2 linked regions of the Schizosaccharomyces pombe genome follow. The protein of the gene in region 1 interacts with the protein of each later gene in a pairwise test. Each region holds a gene or a part of one and is shown on either strand. Other genes may lie near its edges. The genes, in order: pwp1 and mlg1.

What was found.
Region 2: the proteins of pwp1 (region 1) and mlg1 interact in a two-hybrid assay, tested with the Schizosaccharomyces pombe proteins (one large-scale study listed by BioGRID).

Annotation. Positions count from the first base shown.
Region 1 is NC_003423.3:2,157,389-2,169,930, reverse strand, and holds pwp1 (WD repeat protein), read right to left. Parts: upstream 5,814-12,542; 5' UTR 5,654-5,813; coding exon 4,103-5,653; 3' UTR 3,935-4,102; downstream 1-3,934. Other genes in the region: ATP-dependent RNA helicase Prp16, read right to left, coding at 151-3,672; SPOM_SPBC1711.15C (uncharacterized protein), read left to right, coding at 7,720-7,818; meiotic recombination protein Rec15, read right to left, coding at 7,798-8,135, 8,185-8,389; histidinol dehydrogenase His2, read right to left, coding at 8,695-10,014; ppp16 (acylpeptide hydrolase), read right to left, coding at 10,255-12,306.
Region 2 is NC_003423.3:464,314-476,610, reverse strand, and holds mlg1 (1-acylglycerol-3-phosphate acyltransferase), read right to left. Parts: upstream 5,960-12,297; coding exon 4,907-5,959; 3' UTR 4,471-4,906; downstream 1-4,470. Other genes in the region: wpl1 (WAPL family protein), read left to right, coding at 91-1,591, 1,632-1,684, 1,730-1,984; Rheb GTPase Rhb1, read left to right, coding at 2,114-2,175, 2,235-2,493, 2,548-2,784; SPOM_SPBC428.15 (Obg-like ATPase), read right to left, coding at 3,172-4,401; Sid2-Mob1 kinase complex regulatory subunit Mob1, read left to right, coding at 6,486-6,660, 6,718-7,117, 7,166-7,223; SPOM_SPBC428.12C (peptidyl-prolyl cis-trans isomerase E), read left to right, coding at 7,782-7,812, 8,002-8,097, 8,193-8,351, 8,413-8,477; homocysteine synthase Met17, read right to left, coding at 9,689-10,978.

The sequences.
Region 1 (12,542 bases):
CACTTTCTTAATGAATTTATTAATCCTCTCAATTTAAAATAATAAAAAAATGTTAATAACTGAATTTCTTTATTACCATAAACCTAGCACATTATTCATAACATAATTTACATAGAATTTTGAGATGGGAACCTTTTTGCAGAGTTCTCATTAAAATCCACGAACCCTTCTAGGAGGTTTGGCACGTATCACTGACTTTCGTTTTGATTTCACGGGTTCTTGATTCTTCGCAAGCTTTTGCTTTGCATCAAGTTCTCGGTCGGCGGCTATCTGTGCATCCAATTGAGGTTTGCTAGAAAAAACTCGATCATAGCTTTCAGTTTCATTTCGGAATCTTTCCTTCACAGAGTAGTAAACTCCACCAAACTCAGCTAGCCAGTATGGATCAACACTGGTGACAATATTCATGTACTCCTTGGAAGTGAGTACAAGTTCGTGATATATAACATAATCAGGTAGATACCCTAAGCCATAAAGACTCGAAGTAACATGTAGATGGCAAGGCATGCCGCTTCGTAAATGAACATACTCCCCAATACCTTTAGCGCATGCTGCTTGATGAAAGTACGCAGAACACAAAACTCTCCGAACAATGTCCCAATCGGATACAGATTCTAAACTAATCTTTTGCTTTGACATAATTTCGACCAGCTGTTGACGAATATCGCGCGCCCGTTTAAGAGTTTTCGAGTGTAAAAAATGTTTACTGCACCATGAATTTGAATATCCATTTCTTTGCCAATGCTGATAAATATTGAGTAGCATTAAATGATCACTTTCTGGCACATTAAACTTTTCTCTTGCAGCGTCACTCTCTTCAGCTCTTTCCTTGGGTCTATAAAATACAGACGGAACTGAAAGCATGGAAACAATCGTAATAATTTCCTCAGTACATTTATAATCTTCAGCAATAATAATAAGTTTTGAAAGAGAAGGATCCATTGGAAATAACGACATTTTCTTTCCTAAAGTAGTAAGTTTTCCAAAATTGTCGAGGGCTCCTAAAGTCCATAATTCATACAGAGATGCCATTAACGTATCATTTGGAGGACGGTCCATGAAATCAAAATCCGAAATTTCTTCAACACCAAGGGATTTTAAAATAAGAACTGTGTTTGATAGATTGGTACGCTGAATTTCAGGTAAGGTCGTTTCAAACATTTCACGAATATAAGCCATTTCGGTATAAAGGCGATATGCAATACCGGGTCCAGTACGCCCAGCACGACCGGCTCTTTGATTCGCATTAGCTTGCGAAATAGGTGTAACTTGCAGAGTATCAATACCCAACTTAGAATTATACATTTTCAGTTTACAATATCCAGTATCTACAACATATGATATTCCGTGCACAGTGAGCGAAGTTTCCGCAATATTAGTTGCGACCACAACCTTTCTAACACCTGGCTCGGCGGAATCAAAAATTTTTGCTTGTAAATCCGCAGGCATTTGTGAGTAGATAGGCAAAATGGACAAGCGTGGTGCATCATGCAACTGATTTAACCTATCTGCAATGATCTCGCATGTAGCTTCAATATCTTCCTGCCCTGTCATAAAAACTAAGATATCACCTGCAGGCTGAGAGAGGTGAATCTGCAATACCTGTCGTACAGCTGCTTCAACGTAATCAGAGCAAGGGGCTTTAGCAAACATAATATCCACCGGGTAAGTACGACCTGGAATTGTAAACTGTGGGGCGCCTCCAAAAAAATCAGAGAATTTCTGGGAATTCATAGTAGCGGATGTAACGAGCAACTTGATATCTCTTCTCCTGGATAACACCTTTTTTAGTAAACCCATTAAAATATCTGTATTAAGGGATCGCTCATGTGCTTCATCCATTATAATGACGCTATATTTTTCTAGATTATTTTGCATCAAGGATTCTCTTAGTAAAACACCGTCAGTCATGTACTTAATTACGGTATCCGGTCCAGTAACATCTTCGAAACGAATTGAATAACCAACTGTTGAACCTAGACGAACACCCATTTCCTCACTAACCCTTTTTGCAACTGACATGGCGGCGACACGACGAGGTTGAGTACACCCTATCATGCCATTTCTATGATAGCCATCCTCATATAAGAATTGAGCTAATTGGGTAGTTTTACCAGAACCAGTCTCACCAACTACAATAAGAACTTGGTTATCACGTATAACAGAAAGAAGCTGTTCACGCACGGCAAAGGCAGGTAGGAACTCTCTTTGTTCTCTATATGATTTCGTGCGAGCGAACTCAGTATCCTTCTTATTCGACTGTTCAGAACGTCCAGCTACTTTAACAGGTGTGGTACCGGCCTTGGCATCTTCATCATTAGAATCTTTGAGACCCATCACGTTACCCAAAGATGTACCAGCAAGGGATGTAGCAGCACTTGCTGCTTTTTGACGCTCCCGAAATTCTCTTCGTTCACGTACAAGACGAGATCCTAATCTAGCATTTATTGCAAGGTCGCTTTGTGGATCTCGAACCGATGTAATATCACCGACTTTCTTAGAAGAAAATTCGGCCCCATCCAAAAAATGAGGACGCAGTTCATCGACAAGCAAGTGAACACGCCTCTCTTCCATAAGGGAGTAATCAGATTCGAGCCCTGGAGCTTTTGAAACACCAGATGTGATCATTCTATTTTTTTCCCACATAGAATTTTCTTTAAATCTGTCTGATGCTTCAATTGACAAATGCTTTTTCTGCTTTTCGATAAACTCAGCTTCATGTGCACGATCTTCGACAGTTTCAAAATCGGAGAATGGATTGTGAACTTCATCGCCAAGTAAATTTTGCGACTCGGAATTCATGTACCAATCACGATCCAAGTGAGCTTGCTCCTCTTCCCAACGTTGACGATCAGCTTTACTCTCGGGATCTTCTTCGGGGTACTCAACGTCGCGGGCATCCCAAGAGCTGTGTGCACCATAAGAATAATCACTATCGTGCGAATATTTAGAGCTATCGACGTCTCTTCGAGAACCATTACCAAACCGATTTCTGCGTTTTGAGGATAAAGGTTCTTCCATTTGAGTTCGATACCGCCGACGATTAGATCCATTGGAAGACTCGAAATTACTTCCAGACCAGCTAGAATAAGAATTTCTACGATATTTATCATCTTCACTTTCAAACTCTTGATGATCGTCAACAGATGACCGTTGACGAAGGGGACGAAAATGTTTTTCATGTGGATTTTTAGGTCTCTTAAATTCCACCCTGTCATAGTTTCCTATAGACTCCAAGGAATCATTTTCTACTTGGGATAATTCAGAGCGCCCTTCTACTTGAGATTTCTCTTTCTTTTTTTGAACAGCAAGAACATCCAATCCAAGCTGGGATTTTTTGGGTTCTCGGCCTTTCAAACCAGAACGATTAGACAAAACTAATCCAGCTACCTGAGACCCATCATTCCCAGGAAGTTTATCTTTAGAAATCCCCAAATTTGTCTCTAAACCAATTATAGATTTGCATAAATCGTAAATAAGGACGCTGTCATTATCGGAAAATCGTCCAAATGTATGTAATGCATTAGAAAACTCGGTGCTGGACGAGCTACCCTTGGCAATTGTCAAAACTCGACTGGCAAGCGATGTAGCTGCATCTTTACTGGACATATAATCAGTTAATTTATCTATTAACTTCGTAAATAGCAAATCATTTTGATTATGTGAAAGCATACCTACTAAATCAATAAGGTTGCTGGCGGAAGGCGAACTTACTCAGACCCTCCGGCCCCCCAAAGGTGCAAAATCATGAACCTGAGTAATTGACAATTAACAATTTATCAGTACTTCAATGTTTAAATAAAAATTGTCATATGAATTAAAAGAATTGTTAGGCAAAATTTACCAAGTAACGGTAAACCCAATATACACTTAATGCATACATTTGCTACTCCACTAATGTGGATGAATTTACTAAAGTTTAAAGACCATCATACACCAAATCAAATGAAATTTATTGTAACTAACCTGATCCCTTTTTTCCAAATATTGAATTATGCAAAAAATCCTCTATACAATTAGTGAGCCCTTTAAACCCATGAAGCGGCCTCTTAGGAGAGTTTTTGAAAACATGAAGCTATAATCTTAAAATAAATCAAGAGAATTAGGACATCTCAGCATCTTGATCATCATCGTCTTCTATATCTTCATAGTCATCATCATCAGAAGAGTCCTCCCCGGCACCTCTGTCTTCTAACTGAACGATGCGCTCTTTTTTAGTAACTTCCTCAGTAACTCTACTTTCAAACGCTTTTCGAACACCAGGATTAGTTGCAGTGTCCCAGACACGAACGACTCCTTTGCTTCCGGAGGCAGCTAGATGGAAAGCAGTTGATTCGTCCGTAGTAAAGGAGCAAGTAAACACACGTCCAACATCCAAATCTCTAGAAACAACCATCTTCGGTGAACTATCGGAAGTGTTCCAGAGTTTAACCACTCTATCAGTGGAGCCTGTGGCTACAAAAGAAGGAACCGAAGGATTAACACTGAGACAAGAAATAGGTCCATCATGGGCTTGCAATTGCCAAACGGACTTTGAGAGATTTCTAGCATCGCAATAATAAACTATGCCATTATCAGTGCCAATGAAAAAGTTGTTTTCGCTATGTTGATCCCAGGCAACATTTTCAACATCGCTAGTAACTTGAAAACTCGATGGAGCTTCTTCAAGGCGAAGGTCAGCTATTTTTGCAGTTTTATCATAACTACCTGACAATAATACGGATGGAGCTTTGGAATACCAATCTAAGCAAGAAACTTTGTCAGAATGATACGTGAAAGATTTGACACAATTGCATGTGCTCAAATCCCACAACTTTAGTGTGGTATCTGCAGAACCAGAAACCAAAAGATTGTGAGCATTTCGGTTCGAAGAAAGAGCAAGAACAGCATCTGTGTGATAACTATCATTTATTTTTTTAGACTTCTTCTTTTTCTTGTTGACTTGAGAGGCACCTGCACCCAACACGGCTGCAGGGTAAACTGCATCAATGATGTCTAAATCCCATATTTCAATTTCAGGATCAAACGTGCCGACAGCAACGTAATTTCCAGGAGCGTTGTCAGACGTACCCACCTTATAATCTAGCCATTCGAGACACAGAGGAAAGGTAGGGAGAAGAAAATCATGATGCACGTAAAGATTTTCCTCTGTTGGCTCATATACATACACTTCAACGTGGGACAAGTTATCTTCTGTGCGCGCAGCTAGCAAAAGGCTGTCTGTTGGTAATATTTGCATTTCCTCTCTTTCCAAATCGTCCTGTTCCTGAGGATCAATAGTGATATATGGATCTTTTTCTCCATTTTCATGGTAAGCCAATCCACGAATGTTGCTAAACATAGCAGCGGGCCCTTCTGTCTCAGCTTCCTCCTCATCGTCATCGTAAGTATCCAAATTGTATACTTTCAATTCATCATCTACCTCTTCACTTGTTTGCAACACCCCTTCTGCTCCATCTGTAGTTTCTTCACCGTTCCCATTGGCTTTATTTGAGTCTTCCATAGAAGATTGGAGATCAGCTCGAGCATCCTCGAGCTTTAACTTTGAAAGCTGATTAATTCGCTCATACTCTATCTCATCAATATCGTAACTCTTGGGAAACTCTGATGCATAACCGCGAGGAACAAAAGCCACAGACGAGACTATTGACATGTTGCACCTCTCTTAATATTTACTCCGCAAATCTTTACTTTAATGTTTAAACCAGAAAACACACCACTCTTGATCTAAACGAGATTAAAAATTTAAAGATTAAGTAAATGTCAACGTATTGATACGAGTAAATAATGGCATAAATCGTGCACCGCTACTTGGGAAAAGAAGAACTGAAAATATTCGTGTCTTACAAAAAACGTTATTTAACCGTTTAGCGTAAACCTGCGTTAAATTAGATTTCAAAACTTAAGAAAACATTTTTCTTCGACCAAAAGGCCATAACGTTCATGTAGATAAACTAAATGCGTTAACTTAATTTACGTCAACAAGTATTTTTACTCATCGTAAATTCAAGTTAATGTCAGTTACGCAATTTGGTATCTGTTTAATGATACATTGAACTACGGCGAGTATTTCTTACGAGCTACGATGTAACGGTATGCGGTATGTTAAACTAACTAACATGTAAGCTACGCAGTTTGGTATCTGATTTAAGGATACGTAGAACTGCGGTGAGTTTTCCTTGTGATCTATTATATTACAATACACAGGTTGTATAAGTAGCAACTGAGAATAGGTATTGTATTAACTGGGTTATAATGTTACCTATCACTAATATAGCTCATAACTGAACCTCGTTCCTCAGTTCAGCAGTAGCTCTATTTATATTATTCAGATAATATAGATCTTAATAGATCATCATTAAGATCAATCTCAATATCGTATCATACATGGTACGATATATAATTAGAACATGTGACATATAGTGATACGCAAGTAGTGTATCATAGCGTAGTGTAGTATTGCTGACATAACAATATTTATTTGAGAAATCTAATAGCATCGGTCACTAAATTTTTTAGTCTTTCTAATATTTGTATTTGTTCTCACTGGTGTCTAAGTAAAATTAATGGATCTTAAAATTTGTTTCCAACATATAAAATCAGTCGCACGCAACACAGTGTAAACACTTCTAACAGTACGTTGCATAAGAATACTAAGTTGAGTGAATTAAAAGGGCGGTAACAATATGAGTGTCAGAAGCATCACATTAAGATGGAGTTTGGAATTTTTGGTTTTTACTTAACTTTTAAATGATTTCAAGATTGAATAAACACAAAACAATACTTTGAATTTTATTAATTAATTTTATTGAATTTTTATATGGAGAAAAATTGCAATACTAGCTTCGTTAGAAAGTTTGTACGATAAATGCTACGGACGTATATTTGTGTATTGCCTGCTGTTTTCGTTTAATGTTGCAAAGAACACAAGTCAACTAATTTGCCGCAGCTCTAACTGCTGTAATCTATAAAGTTCGCTATACAACAAACGAACACAAGGAAACAAATAGTCACCTATAATTTTCTCTTCTTAAATTAGTCTTAATTTTTGGACTGAAACTTAAACAGTAAAACGAATAGCTTATAATATGAAAAGTTGTTTTAGAAGGGCAAAATGTTAGAAAAAGTTATCGATTACACAACAATAGGAAACTACCCTTTTACTATGATTTTGAGCAAAACCAGTAAACCAATCCATAAATCACAATATGTAGCTTTATTCATGCTTTTATCTTTTTTTTTTAACGAAAGCTTATGTTTAATAAGCTCGACTCTCGTATAGTTGATAAAAGCCGTCACGTTGTTTCGAAGCTATAAATTTGGCAAACCGCTAAACGTACGTAGTGCCATCAACGCTGAAAACAGCTATATTAGTGCATATAGATAATTTCGTAAAAATCTTTGAAGTTTTTTAAAAAGGACTGTCTATAAAAAATTTCAACTAGGTAGGTATTCAAAAATGAAAGAAACTGAAAATTCCTTGAATTCTATTGTGATGACAAAAGAAGAAGCTTAACATTTTATATAGGAAGTGCCGTCTGAGAGTTCTGCTCGGTGACCAAGCTAATTCATTCTGAGAAATCTTTGTAAACTCAAGGGGTTTTAGTATTCAATCATTTGGGCTTTCATAAGTCTATCAACAGTTTTTGCTCATTGCATACTAACAGCGTTTAGGCAAGTTTAATATGTGCTGAAAGTGAATATATTGCATCGCTCACTATGAAAAAACGGTTTGATTGGTGTTTAATTTTAATTGATATCATAGAAAAGCTTTTAAATGAGGCTGATCTAAGTATTTTAATAATCGTCATCTGCTAAGAAATCAATAGCCAGTACTCGCTTTTTCGTTGTTGTATTACTTCTGGGCATAGTTTGATTTTGTACTGTTCGTGTTTGTTTAGTAGTCATATAACGCTTTTTCAGCTCTGCATCTAGCTTTTTAGTGATTATAGTCATCTGGCTTGTGCAATCAGCTAGTGTTTTTGTATTACTGTTCTGTTCTTTTTGTAAAGCTTCAAATTTCAAATTCATATCTGACATGGTCTGTTCCAACTTATTGATACGACTGGCATAATCTTGAATCCCTAAGGCCACTTGCTGCATAGACATGTTTATTTGATTCAAAGATTGTAGTACTATTAAGTCAGACTTCCAACCACTTGGGAAATTCTAAATCTCACTTACCTAGTTGAGAATTTTGTTGTTGGACTTCACTAATAGATCGTCCTAGTTGACCGATCGTTTGATTAACTACCTCTTGTTTGGTATTCATTTCAGCCAAACAACTAGCAATTTGATTGCTCTGTGACTTTTGATGCTGTTGCATATCTTCGGCTTGCATTGCCAACTTGCGAGACCATAATTGAGCAGCTGAAACTGAATAACTCATTATTTAATGATCGTTTCCGTTAAAATTCCCGTAACGCTTAATTGCAGGTTTGGTTAAAGGGAATGTTCGTTTTCACTAGAAAAAAGTCGAGACACGCGACGCGACACCAACTAACTTCAGGTTGAATTAATGGATAATTACTCAGTATATTGGATGCCCATTCATACTATTAAAATTAAATTGAAAAATATAAAATAAAATAAAATAAATCATAACCTAAAAATACTTTGTCAAATTTAGTACCAAACACAAATTTTATTTTAAGCCGAATCCTTAATTAGGTATACGTAAAAAGGAAACCCCTTTCAAAGTCTAACTCCCCGAACACGAACAGCATCGGCATGCGCAGTGAGACCCTCCAACTCAGCAAGACGAATAACAGTAGGGCCCAACCGCTGGATTCCTTCTTCAGTGAGCTCTTGGGTAGTGATATATTTTAAGAAGCTATCGGTACTAACGCCAGAATAAGAAGAGGCGTACCCGTATGTAGGAAGCGTATGGTTGGTACCAGACGCATAGTCACCCATACTTACAGGTGACCAAGGACCAACGAAAACGCTACCAGCATTATCTATTTTGGGAATGTATGAAGAAGCATTTTTTAAGTGCAAGACCAAGTGCTCAGGACCATACAAATTAGACCATTCAAAAGCTTGATCAACATTGTCAACCTGTACAATAACCGACTTCTTGATAGCATGTTTGATGATATACGAACGAGAAAGTCGTAAAGCGTGATCATTAATTGCTTTTTGAATACGGTCAAACATTTCGGGAGATAGAGAGACAGTCAGCAAAATGATCTGACTGTCCAAACCATGCTCTGCTTGAGACAATAAATCCAAGGCAACACTTTCAGGATTACAGGTCTCATCTGCTATTACCAAAACTTCTGAGGGACCAGCAGGAAGATCAATAGCAACTAAAGCCCCGTAATCATTCTGAACATGCATCTTTGCAGCTGTAACAAATTGATTTCCAGGGCCAAAAATTTTGTTAACTTTAGGAACACCGGATATTCCATATGCCATGGCCGCAATTGCTTGCGCCCCGCCTGCCAAAATAATAGCCTCAGCACCAATTTTATTTGCAATATATACAATTTCAGGCGCAACCGTACCATCCTTTCGGACTGGCGTAGAAATCACTACATGAGGACAGCCAGCTACCTTCGCCGGAACTCCAAGCATCAAAGCAGTAGATGGCAACACTGCAGTTCCTCCAGGGATATAAAGACCAACTCGGTTAATAGGACGAGACATCCGTTGACAGACTACACCACGCATGGTTTGAACAGCAATTGTAGGACGCAGCTGTGATGAATGGAAAGCAAAAATATTGTTAAAAGCAATATCAATATCCTCTTTAATCATTGGGGATATTTTCATTAAGTCGTCGTCAAACGGAGCCTTTAAGACAGCCGACTTCAATTGAACCTTTTCAAATTTGGAAGCATAATCTATTAGAGAAGCTTCTCCTCTTGATTTAACATCCTCGATTATCGGTTGGACAATCGTACGAATTTTTTGAGTGTTCTGAATGGGTCTTGCAAGTAATCGTGTACGTTCTTCGGCGGTTAATGCAGCAGCTCTATAAGAAGGCACCTGAATCTCGTATTCCGGCATTATTAAGTAAATTAAAGGTAGTCAAGTCTAAATCGACTCTCTAAAAATTTAATGCAATGTTGGCTAAGGAATGGCTGGATCGGTGAATACTCGATTTCCCTTACAGCAAAGATCTAAATTTGATATGTCTTCGGATAAACCGCGGTTGCAACTTTTTATCCGCGGTAATAGAATTAACAAAGATCGAGAGAAACAAAAAAAAATTTATTAAATAATCGTAGTTGTATTATTAAAATTAATCTAAAACGTTTCATCTTCATTGGCATTACAATCTTTAGTATAGTGAAGAATCCACGAAAGCACTTCTTTATGCCAACGTAGGGAATTATCAGGTTTAATGACCCAATGGTTTTCGTCTTCAAAGACTAGTAATCTGCTAGGAATTCCCTTGTACTGCAAAACATTGAATGCGGCTATTCCTTCACTTTCGGTAAGCCTGTAATCCTTTGAGCTATGAATTACAAGTTCAGGAGTGGCCCAATAATTCACAAAATTTGAAGGATTCCAGCGCTCATAGATAACTCTGTTTTCCCAAGGAGTACCCCCAAAATCGTGAATAGAAAAATAAAGTTCTTCAGTATTGTAAAAAGTATTGAGGGTATTAAATACCCCGTCATGACATACAAGTGCACGAAATTGACGACCTAAAGGGTGTCCTTGAATCCAATTAATCATGTAACCACCATAGGAAGCACCTAAGGCAACCATTTTTTCAGAATCAGCATAGGAAAGATGATTTTTTATGTACTCAACACCAAGTTCAATATCTTTATATGGCTTACCACCCCAATCAAGAGCAATGGAATCGGTAAAACGTTGTCCATAACCTGTAGATCCAGTAGGATCAAGAGCAAATACAATAAAACCAGCATTAGCAAAAACTGCAGGATTCCAGCGCGTTGACCAACTATCTGTCCAAGAACCTTGAGGTCCCCCGTGTATAAGCACTGCTACAGGATATTTTTTAGATTTATCAAAACTTTCGGGCTTTACAATCCATGCATGAATTCTGTGACCATGAGTGCCAGGAAACCAAATTTCTTCATAAGAAGTTGGCGATAATCCGACATTGTTCTCGAGTAAAACACTTTCGTTTAACGTTTCAACGTTAATCTTTGCGTAATAAGGGGGATTGATTAAAGATGACTTCGTAAGCCATAAGGAAGAAGATTTAGGGACACTAATAGAAGAAACAGAGTGTTCTTCTGTCATTGGGATAACTTGGTGGTGAAATATAGAAACAAAAAACAAAATTTGCTTCCCATAATTCTCAGCAATAGCAAAAAGACCTGGTTCGCCTCCTTTGAAAACCCCCCATTCAATGCTGGAAGGCGATCGGTCCCAATGACGAGCAATGTGCTTTTTAGCGCCTGACTCGGACTCATATACCATTATTTGATTTTGATCGCTTTCGTACTGTGGTGTTTGCATTTCAAGCCATGCAATATGATTTCCATCTTTGGCTAGTCTTGGTGAAGAGCATGCACCCTTCGCAGTGCTCAATGACTTCAGATTCCGAGTGTTCAGATTAATCTCGTAAACAACTGTCTTTGTTTGTGTTGCCGGATTTAATTTCGGGTCTTTTGCTACAAAGACAAGTTTGTCGTAGTTAGAATCAAAGTCAGAAAGACCTCCGAAGGGTTCGACAGGAGATTCCAAGCCAGTTTCCTTCAACAAATCAATAGCTTTTTCTGAGGAAATTTCAAAATAATTTGAGTTTTCCGTTTTTTTATCTAGCTCTATAAAATAAAGGGTATTCCTAGATCCTGTGTTCCATCTATCCCAGTGTCGAACAAACAAGTGATCGTATACGTGAACATTTGAAGGTCCCTTAACTAACGAATTATCCACTGAACTAAAAACGATTCTATAGTGGTTGTTCTTTTCTCCGATCCTTATATCAGATATTGAAGAGTTATGATTATATATGATACGCTCTGATCGATTGTTAACGTCAAAAAGAAGGATACTCGATGAGCTAGAATTATCTTCTCTTGCATATAAAAAAGCTGAATCAGTAATCCATGTGAGCGCTTTGTTTGATTTGCCGTGTACTAAAAGCTCTTGATGGTTTCTAGTGCTTTCATTCAAAAGGTAAATTCCAGAGTTATATTTGTGATCAGCAAAGGAATAATTCGATTCTATAAATATTCCAAGATTCCCTAAAGGATTGCTAACTACTGCTGACCTTCTAGGAGCTTCTAGCATGGATTCCGCATCAAATGCAGCCTTGTCAGCTGCAGTTAGCGTCATTACCAGGAAAAAAACTAGCTGCTTGAAAAGACTATGCATCCAAAAAAATATATTCTTTGACCAGAGTGAGGTGAATTCTAAGGAATTTGCATGAAGGGGAAAGGAAATTTATCTTGCAAAGATTACCAACCCATCTGACGAAGATATGATTATATATGATGACTTTATAAACTCCCAGCATAGTGTTAGCGTGCAGCCCTTTGTAAAGCGTTGGGCTGCGTTTGTACTGATAGGTGATGGTTTAAATTCATGTTACAATAATAACAATTTCTTTA
Region 2 (12,297 bases), 1.7 Mb from region 1:
CGACAAGCTACATTGTGAGTTGGTACGACCGTGTTCCTCCATTTTTGTAAAGAATCGATGTCAAGCCAGGCGGATTGAAGAAACCTTGAAATGAAAAGAGGAAAATGTAAGGAAAAAGATAATGGTTTGAAGAGAATTTCTTCGGAATCGGAAGTTTGGAACTTTTTAGACGTGACAGTTTCAGAGTTAAACAAGCAAAAGCGCTCGCCAGGACAGACCGTGTCTAAACGACTGCATAAAAAGCAAAGGGTCGTTAGTAATCCTGATTTGAGTTTACCGTCTTCACCGGTAAAACAAATTTTAAGAAATGGACTTCAGAATTCAAAGTACGGTTCTCATAAGACAGGACTGGAAAGGTCCGCGAGCTGTAGTAGTATTGATGCTTCCGCAAACCATTCTTCCACTACCTATCGGGAACAAAGATCGTATTTGATGGAGGAAGGATTAGATACTCAGCCAATTGTACCCCGTGAAGTATCCTCTGGTCGAGAATTGGATTCAACCAACCATACTATTGGTACAGAACGTGCTTTTTTGATAGAGGAAGACGTATCAGAAGATGATGAAATTCAAATGAAAAGTATACATGAACTTCGCTTTGCTGGAGAGCAGCAAAGGATCGTTGATGAAATTGAATACTTAGTGGACGGAGTGACTTTCTCAGGTAACTCTTCTGCTTCTCGCTATTTGAGTTTAATAGGAATCGCTGAAAAAATGTTTGACAATTCATTTCGTTTATGCTTAAAGTCGATACGGGATGTCTTCTTGCGAATATTTGAAGAAATTGATCCTAAAGATACTTTACACACTTTTTTGCAGATTTATATATTTGCAACTATGGCTAATGAAATGGATTGCATGAGTTCCTTGCTTGATGCTTACTCAAACAATGTTAAACTTCTTTTGCAAACGGCTATTACTTTAGAACCGCAGGTACCGGTTTCAATTTTGGCAAAAAGCTTACCAAAAAGTGTAAAGGGAGCCGTTCAAGAATTCGTTATAAAGGCAGAGCTTACTTTTAGTTTTAGCAATGAGTCTCTTGCTTCTTCTGATTCTATCAGTCTTGCAGCTATCGCTCTTATGAAGACGTCCTCGGGAGTTTTTGCGGAAAGCGAGTTGTTTACCGAATTAATCAATCTTTTAATAGAAAAATCCTACCCCATCTTGAAGGAAAACGATGGAAGCAATAACTTCTTACTTCATGCACTTTGTAGTTCTTTAGAAAAATTTACGGATTTCCAGGGATCAGAAAAGATTCAGAAGGTTTCACAGATCTTATCCTCAAAGTTACAAATTTTAATTGATGAACACAATGAAACAAATTCACCAAAAATTGACGATACAGTTGTCCATGCATGCAGTGAAAAATTGTTGCGTACTTTGATTCAAACAGTTAATTCTAACAGTGATCATGCGTTAGCGGTTTCTAAATCAGAAGTCCCATTGTTTGCTTATAAAATTTTACAAAAGTTTTCTAATTTTTCGTCCGATGATGAAACTACACGAGAACTAATTATCTTAATCCTTGGTCTTTTACTAGGGCTAGTTGAGGAATCTCATGAGTTTATTCAAACTATCACTCATGTTGAAGGTAAGTTCCTTTTATTAATATTTTTACTAATTCTATTTAGTTTCTTTCGGAGCTTCAGCACTCGATGTCCTCATTTCGTTTTATCAAAAGAACGTAAGTTGTACTACTTCTGTTGTAAGACATTTCTAACAAATGTAGGAAAGTATCGTAGAAATTAGTGGATATGTCGTAATGATTTTAAGCCATTGCTTTTTAAATGATCCCAAAGCGTTTGCCCAACTCAAGCCTTTGATATCTCAGTTTTACGAATCTCTACATAAATTTAAAAATTTTCATTTGAAATTGAAAGAGGAATTAATGATGATGGGTTCTAATGGACTAGCCATTGTTTCTATAATTGATGAACTACATAAATCGTTGCAAGACTACTTGCGCAGTGACTTGGTAAAATGACCTTTGCGGCGCGCTGGGAACGTGACATCCACAACATCGTTGCTTTCACTCACTTTTTTTTACGATCACTCTATAGTTAATAATTTGCCTTTTTAAATATTATAATCTTGAAATTTTCTAATTTAAACAATGGCTCCTATTAAATCTCGTAGAATTGCTGTTCTTGGCAGTCGTTCTGTTGGAAAGTCCAGGTAAGCGTTTGATTGAAGTTTATGCGCAAATAGGTTTACTAACCATTTTTTTTAAATAGTTTAACGGTGCAATATGTTGAAAACCATTTCGTTGAATCGTATTATCCAACTATTGAAAATACATTCAGCAAGAACATCAAGTATAAGGGTCAAGAATTTGCTACTGAAATTATCGATACGGCTGGTCAAGATGAATACAGTATCTTAAATTCTAAGCATTCCATTGGAATCCATGGCTATGTACTCGTTTACAGCATTACTAGCAAATCTTCTTTTGAGATGGTTAAAATAGTTCGTGACAAGATATTGAATCACACTGTATGTCAAATTATTAGAATTTTTAAATTTTTTACTAACCTACTTGCTATTAAGGGTACTGAGTGGGTCCCCATTGTGGTTGTTGGCAATAAGAGCGACTTGCATATGCAGCGTGCTGTTACCGCTGAAGAGGGAAAAGCATTGGCCAATGAATGGAAATGTGCATGGACAGAAGCTTCAGCTCGCCATAACGAAAATGTTGCTCGAGCATTCGAGCTAATTATCAGCGAAATTGAAAAACAAGCAAATCCTTCCCCTCCTGGTGATGGAAAGGGTTGTGTTATCGCCTAAGCTTCTGCTTGAATTTATCATATTATGGATTAATTTATTTTAACTGAATTAACGATTTTATCTTTGCTAATGCAAGATATGGGCTTACATTACATGAGGTGATACTTTGCACACAAACGTGTTTTTTTACACATGGGTTTACAAGATTTCGACTCTTTATTTCAAATATACAAGTACCTAAACTATGGTTTTAAAATTTAGTCAATGTAATACATAGTGGAGAAAGTACAGCCAGACATTGTAGACGTAATTTGTTGAGTTAGCTCTTCGGAAGTTTTAAACTAACCAAATTAATTTTTAGACATAGTATTGTTTATTAACATCTATACAAAACTATTTTGAATATTTCCCAAAATCGACCTTTTACCACTTTTCTTCATGAATCACTTAAGCTTCAGCTTTCCGCAATCGAAAGTGAAGGATATCCGTTTTACCTGGGACAATAACATCAGATTCGCCGACGTTTCCATTTACACCCACAATAGACATTGCTTCTCCACCCAATACCATTTGAGATACCTGTCCAGCAGTCGTTCCTTGCTTCACTAAGATGCAATCTCTGAAAACACCTTCATTAGGAGAGTTTGCAAAATTGTGAACGTTTTTAACGGGAAAAACTGGAATCAAATTTAAAAGTTCCATTGCCTTTGCTAAAACATTACAAACTCCAGTTGAACCGTGTCGAAATAATACCATGTCTTGGAGGTCTGCGATACGGGTTTTAAGATTTTCGCTCAAAGGTTTCAAGCCAGAGTCAGGAAAATCGTCTAGCGTATCAACAAATTCAGAGCCCTCCTCGTACTTAACAAACCCCTGTTTTGCCAATCTTCGAAGAAAAACTTCGGATATGGCTGAAGCCAGTACGAGTCGATTTGGATCTTCTTTTCTAGCTATTTTAGATATATTTGCATCCGCATCAGGATGATCAATTTTGTTAAGAGCAATAACGGTAGGAAACTTGATATCAACGAATCTGTTAACCACTTTTTCAATTGTATCATCATCCCATTTCTCCAAAGGTGTATCTAAATGTAGCGAATCTAAGACTTTAGCTGTAACAGCAGGGGTACTTCCATATCCAGAAAACTGGGATTGTAGTGTATTGACAGGATTGGCTTTCGTAGCAATATGCCTACGAACTATATTAGGCCATTTCTCTCTCAGATTGTTTCCGATCCATGCAGTTATTTCCTTATACAACCAAGCGATATCTACAGAAGGATCATATCCACGACACACTTTTCCTTCCGCATCAGTAGTACCTGAGACATCTACCACATGGACCAAAGCATCGGCATGCCGTAAATCGTCTAAAAATTTATTGCCAAGCCCCTTTCCAGCATGCGCACCTGGAATAAGACCAGCTACATCAAGCAGCTGAATAGGAATTGAACGTACACCATTTTTGCAACCACCATAAATTGGTTTACATTTGTCCTGTAGTCCAAATCTTGAGCACGCGCATTCTATTTGAGCATAGCCAATAGCCCGGTTTGGCTCAATAGTGGTAAAAGGGAAATTACCAGTTTTAGCAGTGGCATCTGTCAACGCATTCAGCATCGTAGATTTACCACTGGAGGGCTTGCCAACAAATCCAATTAAAATGTCTCTACCCATTATTTGGAAACCTTAGAAGAAGTATGTGAGAAAAATTGGTACTGAAATCCAGGACCTACTCGTACTCTGCAATCTGAGAATTAGAGTAGTGGTAAGGGTCGAGTGTTTCGTAATACCTGCTTTTAGGACTAAAGATTTAAAGGATTGTTTGCTTGCACATTTATAATATTTTTTTTTTAGCATAATTTATTTTATTGTTATTATGTTATCTTCGACATAGTTTGAAACAGTAGATTGTAGGCCGTCTACAGGCAAAGAGGATGGTTGTAAGGAGAAAAAGTGTACAGAATAATTTATCTCGAAATCTCAAAGCTCAAGAGAAAGCTAATGACTATAAAACTATCGTCCGCAATGTATGCGGTAATTCCTTAACACTGAAAATCCAGTTTGCAATCTGTTAAAAAATGTTCATGAAAATCAGTTAATCTATGTAGTGTAAATGGGTAACTTTTCAACCATATGGTTTAGGGAAATGGAAAGAAATGGGTATAAATAACAGTTTTTTCTAGTGAGAAATGAATAGTTTGAGGAACAACCCAGCAACAATGCACGTGAAAAGTACGGAAAACAAAGAAAGAATTTCAAGTCTGTGCTTCAATCGAACAGTCGTATGCAATTTCTTAGGGCCCGGAAAATTCCCTGTTTCAAGAAGCGTATCGATAAGTTTATCTTTCTCATACCATCTTTGATAAAGCCAATCCGTAAACTGATCTTCTTCAGTGGGAATTTCCGAAATTGGGAAGCGACGAACGTGAATATGAAGCCTTTTGATGGGGACTCCTTCAAAAAAGAGCTTAGGTAAAGAGAAAGCATCGGCGGCATATTTCTTAGGAGAGGGATCAGAAAAATAAAATGTGTAATCGTACAAATAAGTCATCGAATCACGAAGCTGACTGATACTATAAAAGAGCCCTCGCACACGTGGGAGCATTAAATGCTTTGGCATTTTGACTCCAATTTTATCGGCATACACCCTGCTCCTTTGATATGTGCTTTCAACCAAGTTGGTTCCTTCTGGGAAGAGAATGAGACTGACGGAATCACGTACATTGCGAATGAACTTGAAATGACGAGACATAGTCTCGTAGTCTTTGTCCCATTTGCGAGAAAGGAAAATGAATCTAAACAATTGCATACCCCAACCTATAACTGGCAACCATTTGAGAGAGTTTTTTAACATAATATAAACATGACCATGCTGTTTAGCAGTGTACGATAACCACCAAACGTACATCCAGTCCGAGTAAAGTTGATGGTTTGCGATAACTATGTTGCGTTCAGCAGCAATTGTTTCCAAGCAACCATTTCTATCCAAATAAAACAAATTTCGAAGCTCGGGATCATAGGTGAGAGTTACAGGAGTCGGACTAAAAAGCTGGACCAAAGCGGTAAACAGAATACCGGCGAATGATTTTGTAAAAGCAATATATTTGTTATAAAGCTCCTTGTTGACAAAATACAGAGGAGTTCCAATAACTTCCGAGGTATAAATGGTAACTGAACCAACAGCCAAACATAATATGAATGAATACTTGCGAATCGCAATTCTGCATGTCATGTTGTCAAACCTAAATGAATTAAAGGAACCTAAATCAAATCTCAAGAAATAAAAGACTGTTAAATAGAATCCAGAGAAAGTTAGCAAAGTCGGTTTTAGTGATGCCCTTTCGCGTTTCTCACCGCACAGTAAAAGTCGTACACGAACACTAAATAGACACCAATTTGAGCAAAAAAAATCCCAAAAAGAAAATTAAAAGCTCTCTGCTTTCTTTTTAATTTCTTAGCCGCACGTTTAGCACCAAAGTGTAATTCAGGGAATGTCAGTGGTTATAGGCAGTGGGTAAAGAAGTAGCGATCGTACGTTGTCAATTTGTAAAAGTGCTCGGACCTAAACATACGGTCGTATGAATATGATAGGTATTCCAGTAATTAATTTGCGCTTAATATTGGTTGGCTGGATGGTCTTGAAAGTTGAACGGTAGAATGACCACGTTTGTTTACGAGGAAGGGACGATGAGTGGAAGGTTGGCACAAACCAAGCCTACCAGAACCCAACTCATACCAACTTTTTTGCATTTTCTTTCATGTTTGGATTTAGTAATAAGACAGCGAAGACATTCCGTGTAAGGAAGACTGAAGCGGGAACGAAGCATTATCAACTACGGCAATATGCTGAAGCAACGCTGGGATCTGGCTCTTTGATGGAAGCAGTAAAACTGCCCAAGGGAGAAGATTTGAATGAATGGATTGCTATGAACAGTAAGCTAAGATATAAAATTGACACTTCAAGAACTTTTATTAATTGAATACTTCTAGCAATGGATTTTTATACACAAATTAATATGTTGTATGGTACAATCACTGAATTTTGTACGGCGGCTTCCTGTCCTCAAATGAATGCTGGACCAAGTTATGAATATTACTGGCAGGATGATAAAATATACACCAAACCCACTCGCATGAGTGCTCCCGACTATATTAACAATCTGTTGGATTGGACTCAAGAAAAGTTGGATGACAAGAAGCTCTTCCCCACTGAGATTGGTGTTGAATTCCCAAAGAATTTTCGCAAAGTGATTCAGCAAATATTTCGAAGGTTGTTTCGCATTTATGCTCATATTTACTGTTCCCACTTTCACGTAATGGTAGCAATGGAGCTTGAAAGCTATCTGAATACATCATTTAAACACTTTGTATTTTTCTGTAGGGAATTTGGGTATGTGTTTCAATTTACTTACTTAAAGATGTTAACAACAAATTTCAGCCTTATGGATAACAAGGAATATGCACCAATGCAAGACTTGGTAGATAGCATGGTTTAAGAACAGTTTTGTAGTTATTCAGGAACAGGAAATGGGAGGTAAACTCGGTTCCCAAACTTACCAATTTAATGTTTTATTTTATCCCTACCATTACCATTTTATCCAGACCTTAGCACAATTTTTTATGGAAAATTTCTTCTTTTCATTTCAATCATTCACTTGAGTGATTACCATAAAGAATAGTTGCTAAAATTACTCTTTCTACTCCTCCACTTTTTTCTTATGACACTGCATTCTTTTAACTACTTTTGAAAAGTGTGGCATATCGCCTTTGCATAGGCTACTTGTGCAAAATATTCTCGCATTCTCTAAAGTGTCTATCTTCATACAATTCATTTTATTTATAACATTTCATGTATCATATGTCTCTGGAATCTTTATTTCAGGTTTCTGTTAAATACCGAAAAAGACTGCATCGTTATTTGAGAAACTACTTACTGAATGGTGGTGGATGTGAGATAGTAAATGTGCGAAATAATCTGAACTTTTTAATTCCCTATTATTTTAGTCTTTTTGCTTTTCATCTTATTTTTTTTTTTTAGTTTTGATGATCTGAGGATGGAAAGAAGGAAAGCAACCGTCCATGTGGGTAAGGATCAATGAATTCATCGTTGTTATGATATATCTATGAGTTTCATGATACCGCTTCCTCATATGGCCATTTATCTACGATAAATGTTTGAGGTTATGATTTAACTTGTTGAATATTATATGACGGCGATACTTCGTTTTAAAAGATTGTTGTTTTCAAAGATCTGTTTGCTAACTTTCTTTTTAGGTAACTTGGCTCCATCTGTAACAGAATCTCTTTTATACAATGCTTTCATTCCGTTTGGAGAGATTATCTCAGTTGCATTACATCGTAAAGAAAAAGGTAAAGTAGTCATGTATTGGTGTCATGTTGGTAAACAACTAGTTTTGATGCCATGAAAATGCTCAAACATTTTAAAAGTTTAGCTAACTTTCTAGCTGTGGACCGTTCCTACGCGTTTGTAGAATTTGATGAACCAGAAGACGCTAAAGAAGCTATGGAAAATATGAACTATTCTATTCTCTGTGATCGTTGTATCAGAGTATCGCCTGCAAATTTTGCGTTATCAGCTGAAGAGACAGCAGTTCCAGATATAGGTAAGAAAAATAGCTGCTGAAGAGGCTTTCAATTTTTTATGCTCTTTACTAATTTACGTAGCAATGTTGCATCCTGAGTCAGCGGATTTTCAAACTTTCAAATCGACTTCTACTCCTACCTCTTAATTTTGTAAGATATTGTTTTCTTTGTAATTGCCTCACCTTATAATAAAGCAAAATTGGGCATGCGAGTGACTATAGGTGAATTGTCTCCTTTTAAGTACTATATTTTTAAAGAGAATACCTCATCCTCCCTCCTTTTTTATCATTTTTATTCTTTACATTTCGAACCGACACCCATTCATCTTTTGTTAATGGAATTGCTATGCATTTAAGCCTTTTTGGAAAGCAAGGCTTGGTATTTACGATTGACGCTTCAACATTACTTTAGCATTGATTTCTTTATTATCCAAGAATTCATAGTTATTGAATGAATATACATACCTATACATATATCAGTTTTGCAAATCTTCCCCTTTGCGCTTTAAAACTCTCATACTCAAAATATCATTTCATAGTGCACTAAGGGAATTTAAGCCCGTATATTCCGTAACGTTATGTTAAAGTAATAGGGTAGGGTTTTGTGACCTGTTGTGACTGCTCAATTTTACTATAAATGGATGTACAAGAGTTTACCATTCCCCATCTTTGTGCACGGGTATTACGCTTATCAGTGAGGAACTTTTCCTAGATGGCGTTATTGCTAGTTGAAAACTATTACCCTGACCGCTCCAACTCTCGTTAAGAGTTTTGGGAATATTTGGAAACCAACTTATTGCAATAACTCATATGTTTACAATGTATGTCTTTAGCAATTTGGTGGTTTTTTATTTTTTGTAAAATTAATTTTATATGATTTTGTGTATTTTTTATTAATGAAAGCACCAGTGAATTTCTGCTAATAGTAATAATGTGCTTACCGAAATAAGGAGCTAAAAGCATTCAGTAATCTTTTGCTAGGCAGAGATCAAGATAACGTAAATTTTGTTATATAATATGTTACGCTTTCCTTGTTTTATAGACCTGTTAGCCATTAGTAGTGCACAAGTGTTATAAATAGTCATTGTTTATTACTTGTGAATCTGAATCTAAATTACCAAGAGATCAAACCGAAAAATGATTTATTTCATAGCGTAAACTGAAGTGTGAAATGTAAAGTCGGGTATGATAAATATATCTAGCTTTCTGTTGAAGAGAACACATTAAAAGTATTATAATGGATAAAAGAGAGAAATATTTTGAGCAGATGTGGGAAAACATACAAAAACTCAATCGATATTTGTGAAACATTACTATGTATTTTACAGGTAAATAAAAAGATATACAATGAGGGCTTTTTAGGCAACTTCCAAAGCTTGAGCAAAGTCGGCGATAATATCATCGATGTGCTCAATACCGACGGCCACACGAATAAGATCCTTAGTGACACCGGCAGAAATTTGCTCCTCATCAGTTAATTGTAAATGAGTGGTATAGGCAGGAGCGATAACCAAAGTTTTGGCATCACCAACATTGGCCAACTGACTAGCAAGCTTTAAGGCATTGACTACCTTACGACTTTGATCAGGGCCACCTTTAGCGCCAAAGCTGAGAACGGCGCCGTAACCATTTTTCAAGTACTTCTTGGCAAGTTTGTGAGAGACGTGAGATTCAAGACCAGGGTAAGAAACCCAGTTAACCTTGGGGTGCTTTTCCAAATATTTTGCAAGAGCAAATGCATTTTGAACGTGACGCTCCATACGAAGAGAAAGCGTTTCAAGACCTTGAAGAAGCAAAAAGACACCGAATGGATTGGCATTGCCACCAACATCACGGAGAGTTTGAGTACGGCAAGCAAAAGCATATGCCAAGTTACCAAAAGTTTCAGTAAAGACCATGCCATGGTAACCGGGATGAGGCTCGTTGAATTCAGGGAAACGCTTGCTGTTCTTCTTCCAGTCAAACTTACCACTATCAACAATCACACCGCCAATAGTAGTGCCATGACCACCGATCCACTTAGTGGCAGAGTGGGTAACGATATCGGCACCGTGGTCAATGGGACGAACCAAATAACCACCGCCGCCAAAAGTGTTATCGACCATTAAAGGCACACCAGCGGCATGAGCAACCTCAGCGATACGCTCAAAATCGGGAACGTTGTACATGGGATTGCCGATGGACTCAACGTAAACAGCCTTTGTGTTTTCATCAATCTGAGCTGCAAGATCATTAGGATCATCACCATTGACAAACTTGGTAGTAATTCCCAATCTAGGCAGGGTAACCTTGAAGAGGTTGTAAGTACCACCATAAAGGTAAGAAGTGGAGACAATGTTATCACCGGCCTTAGCCAACGTGGTCAAAGCCATGAAGAGAGCGGAAGTACCGGAACTAGTAGCGATTGCAGCAGCGCCATGCTCCAAGGCGGCAATACGTTTCTCAAAAACGTCGGCGGTGGGATTCATCATACGCGAGTAGATGTAACCTGGTTCCTGTAATCCGAACAAGCGGCCGCCATGGTCGCAATCACGGAAAACATAGGAAGTAGTAGCGTAGATGGGAACGGCACGAGAGCTGGTAGCAGCATCAGGCTCTTGGCCAGCATGTAATTGTAAAGTTTCGAAATGTTCACTCTCGACTGGCATGTTGAATGTGAATGATCTTTATTTTGATGATGAGTTTAAAGTGCTAGTAAAAGATATTTAACAGTTTGCAACAAAGATCAATTTCAAAAAACCAAAAGCAGCAATTTAAAAGAGAAAATGACAAAAAAAAAAGGAAAAAAAAAAAAGACGAGTCGAAACTCAAAAAAATTTCAAAAGCTAATACAAGTGAAATGCAAACTGATACACTAGCGCTTATAAATTATTTTTCCTTGCTTTCAAGCTCTTAGCAGTCGAAAAACTAAGTGCCGATACCGCTCATTTTATAGGAAACACAGCGAAGAAGGATTAGGAAATTTCTGCTCGGAATTTCACCATCGCAATAAAATTTGTCGTGCTACTTCCGGCACAATTGTACTTAATCACATCAGATCTCTGTTGCCAATGATTTGCACGAAGACTTGTTTTTTACCTAAAATAGTCAAAACCGAACAAAATTTTTTATTGCAGATCTTTTCATAACGCCGACATGGAGAAGAGGGAAGATCATCCTTCAGGATCGCCCGTGCTGATTGCGAAAGTTAAGGTGCCGTATTAGCTGCAGTATCGTAATTAACGTAGTTTACTGAAACCACTTTTCGTACAATTGTGCTGAGCTGTAAAGTATGGGGAATTACAGTGTCGTGCACTAGAAGAGAATAGCATACAATACTAGCAATGCACTCTACATGCATTCGGATCCAGTAATGCATAGCGATAACAAACAATAGCATATTGCAAAATATCAAATTTAAAACAACTTTTTAACTTCTTTAAAGCTAAATTGCAAACAGTGCGGTATTCTGCGTTTTTGTGTTAAACAATGCATAAAGTAATAAATATACAAAGTTCTGTTCTTCATCTTCTTTGCTAGTAAGTGGTTAGAATTCGCTACAATGAAGATAACCGTGCAATAAACGAAGAAAAATAAAGAAGTGTAAATAAATAAAGCAAGTAATTAAATTGTTTTTTCACGAATAAAAAAATGGAAGCCTACAGCACCCCGGATTCCCATGTTGTCTCCAACCATAGTACTAACGAGGCCCTCAGACGCTTAACTGCAGTGATCGGACGGGAACTGGTGTTTTCGCCTAGGTATGGCCGTAGACAGTTGTTTGAATTAATTGTAAATTTTATAGCTAAATTAAAAAGAAATTGCAGTGACACCAGTTGTAATATGACACATTTCTGTTTGATTCTTCAATGTACAATGGATTGGCTCAATTTCACTTTTTGAAAAACTTTTTTTATTAAAAAATATAATGTTCATTGAGTATAAATAAAATAGAATTCTCGTATAATGAGTGAAAAAATTATTGTAA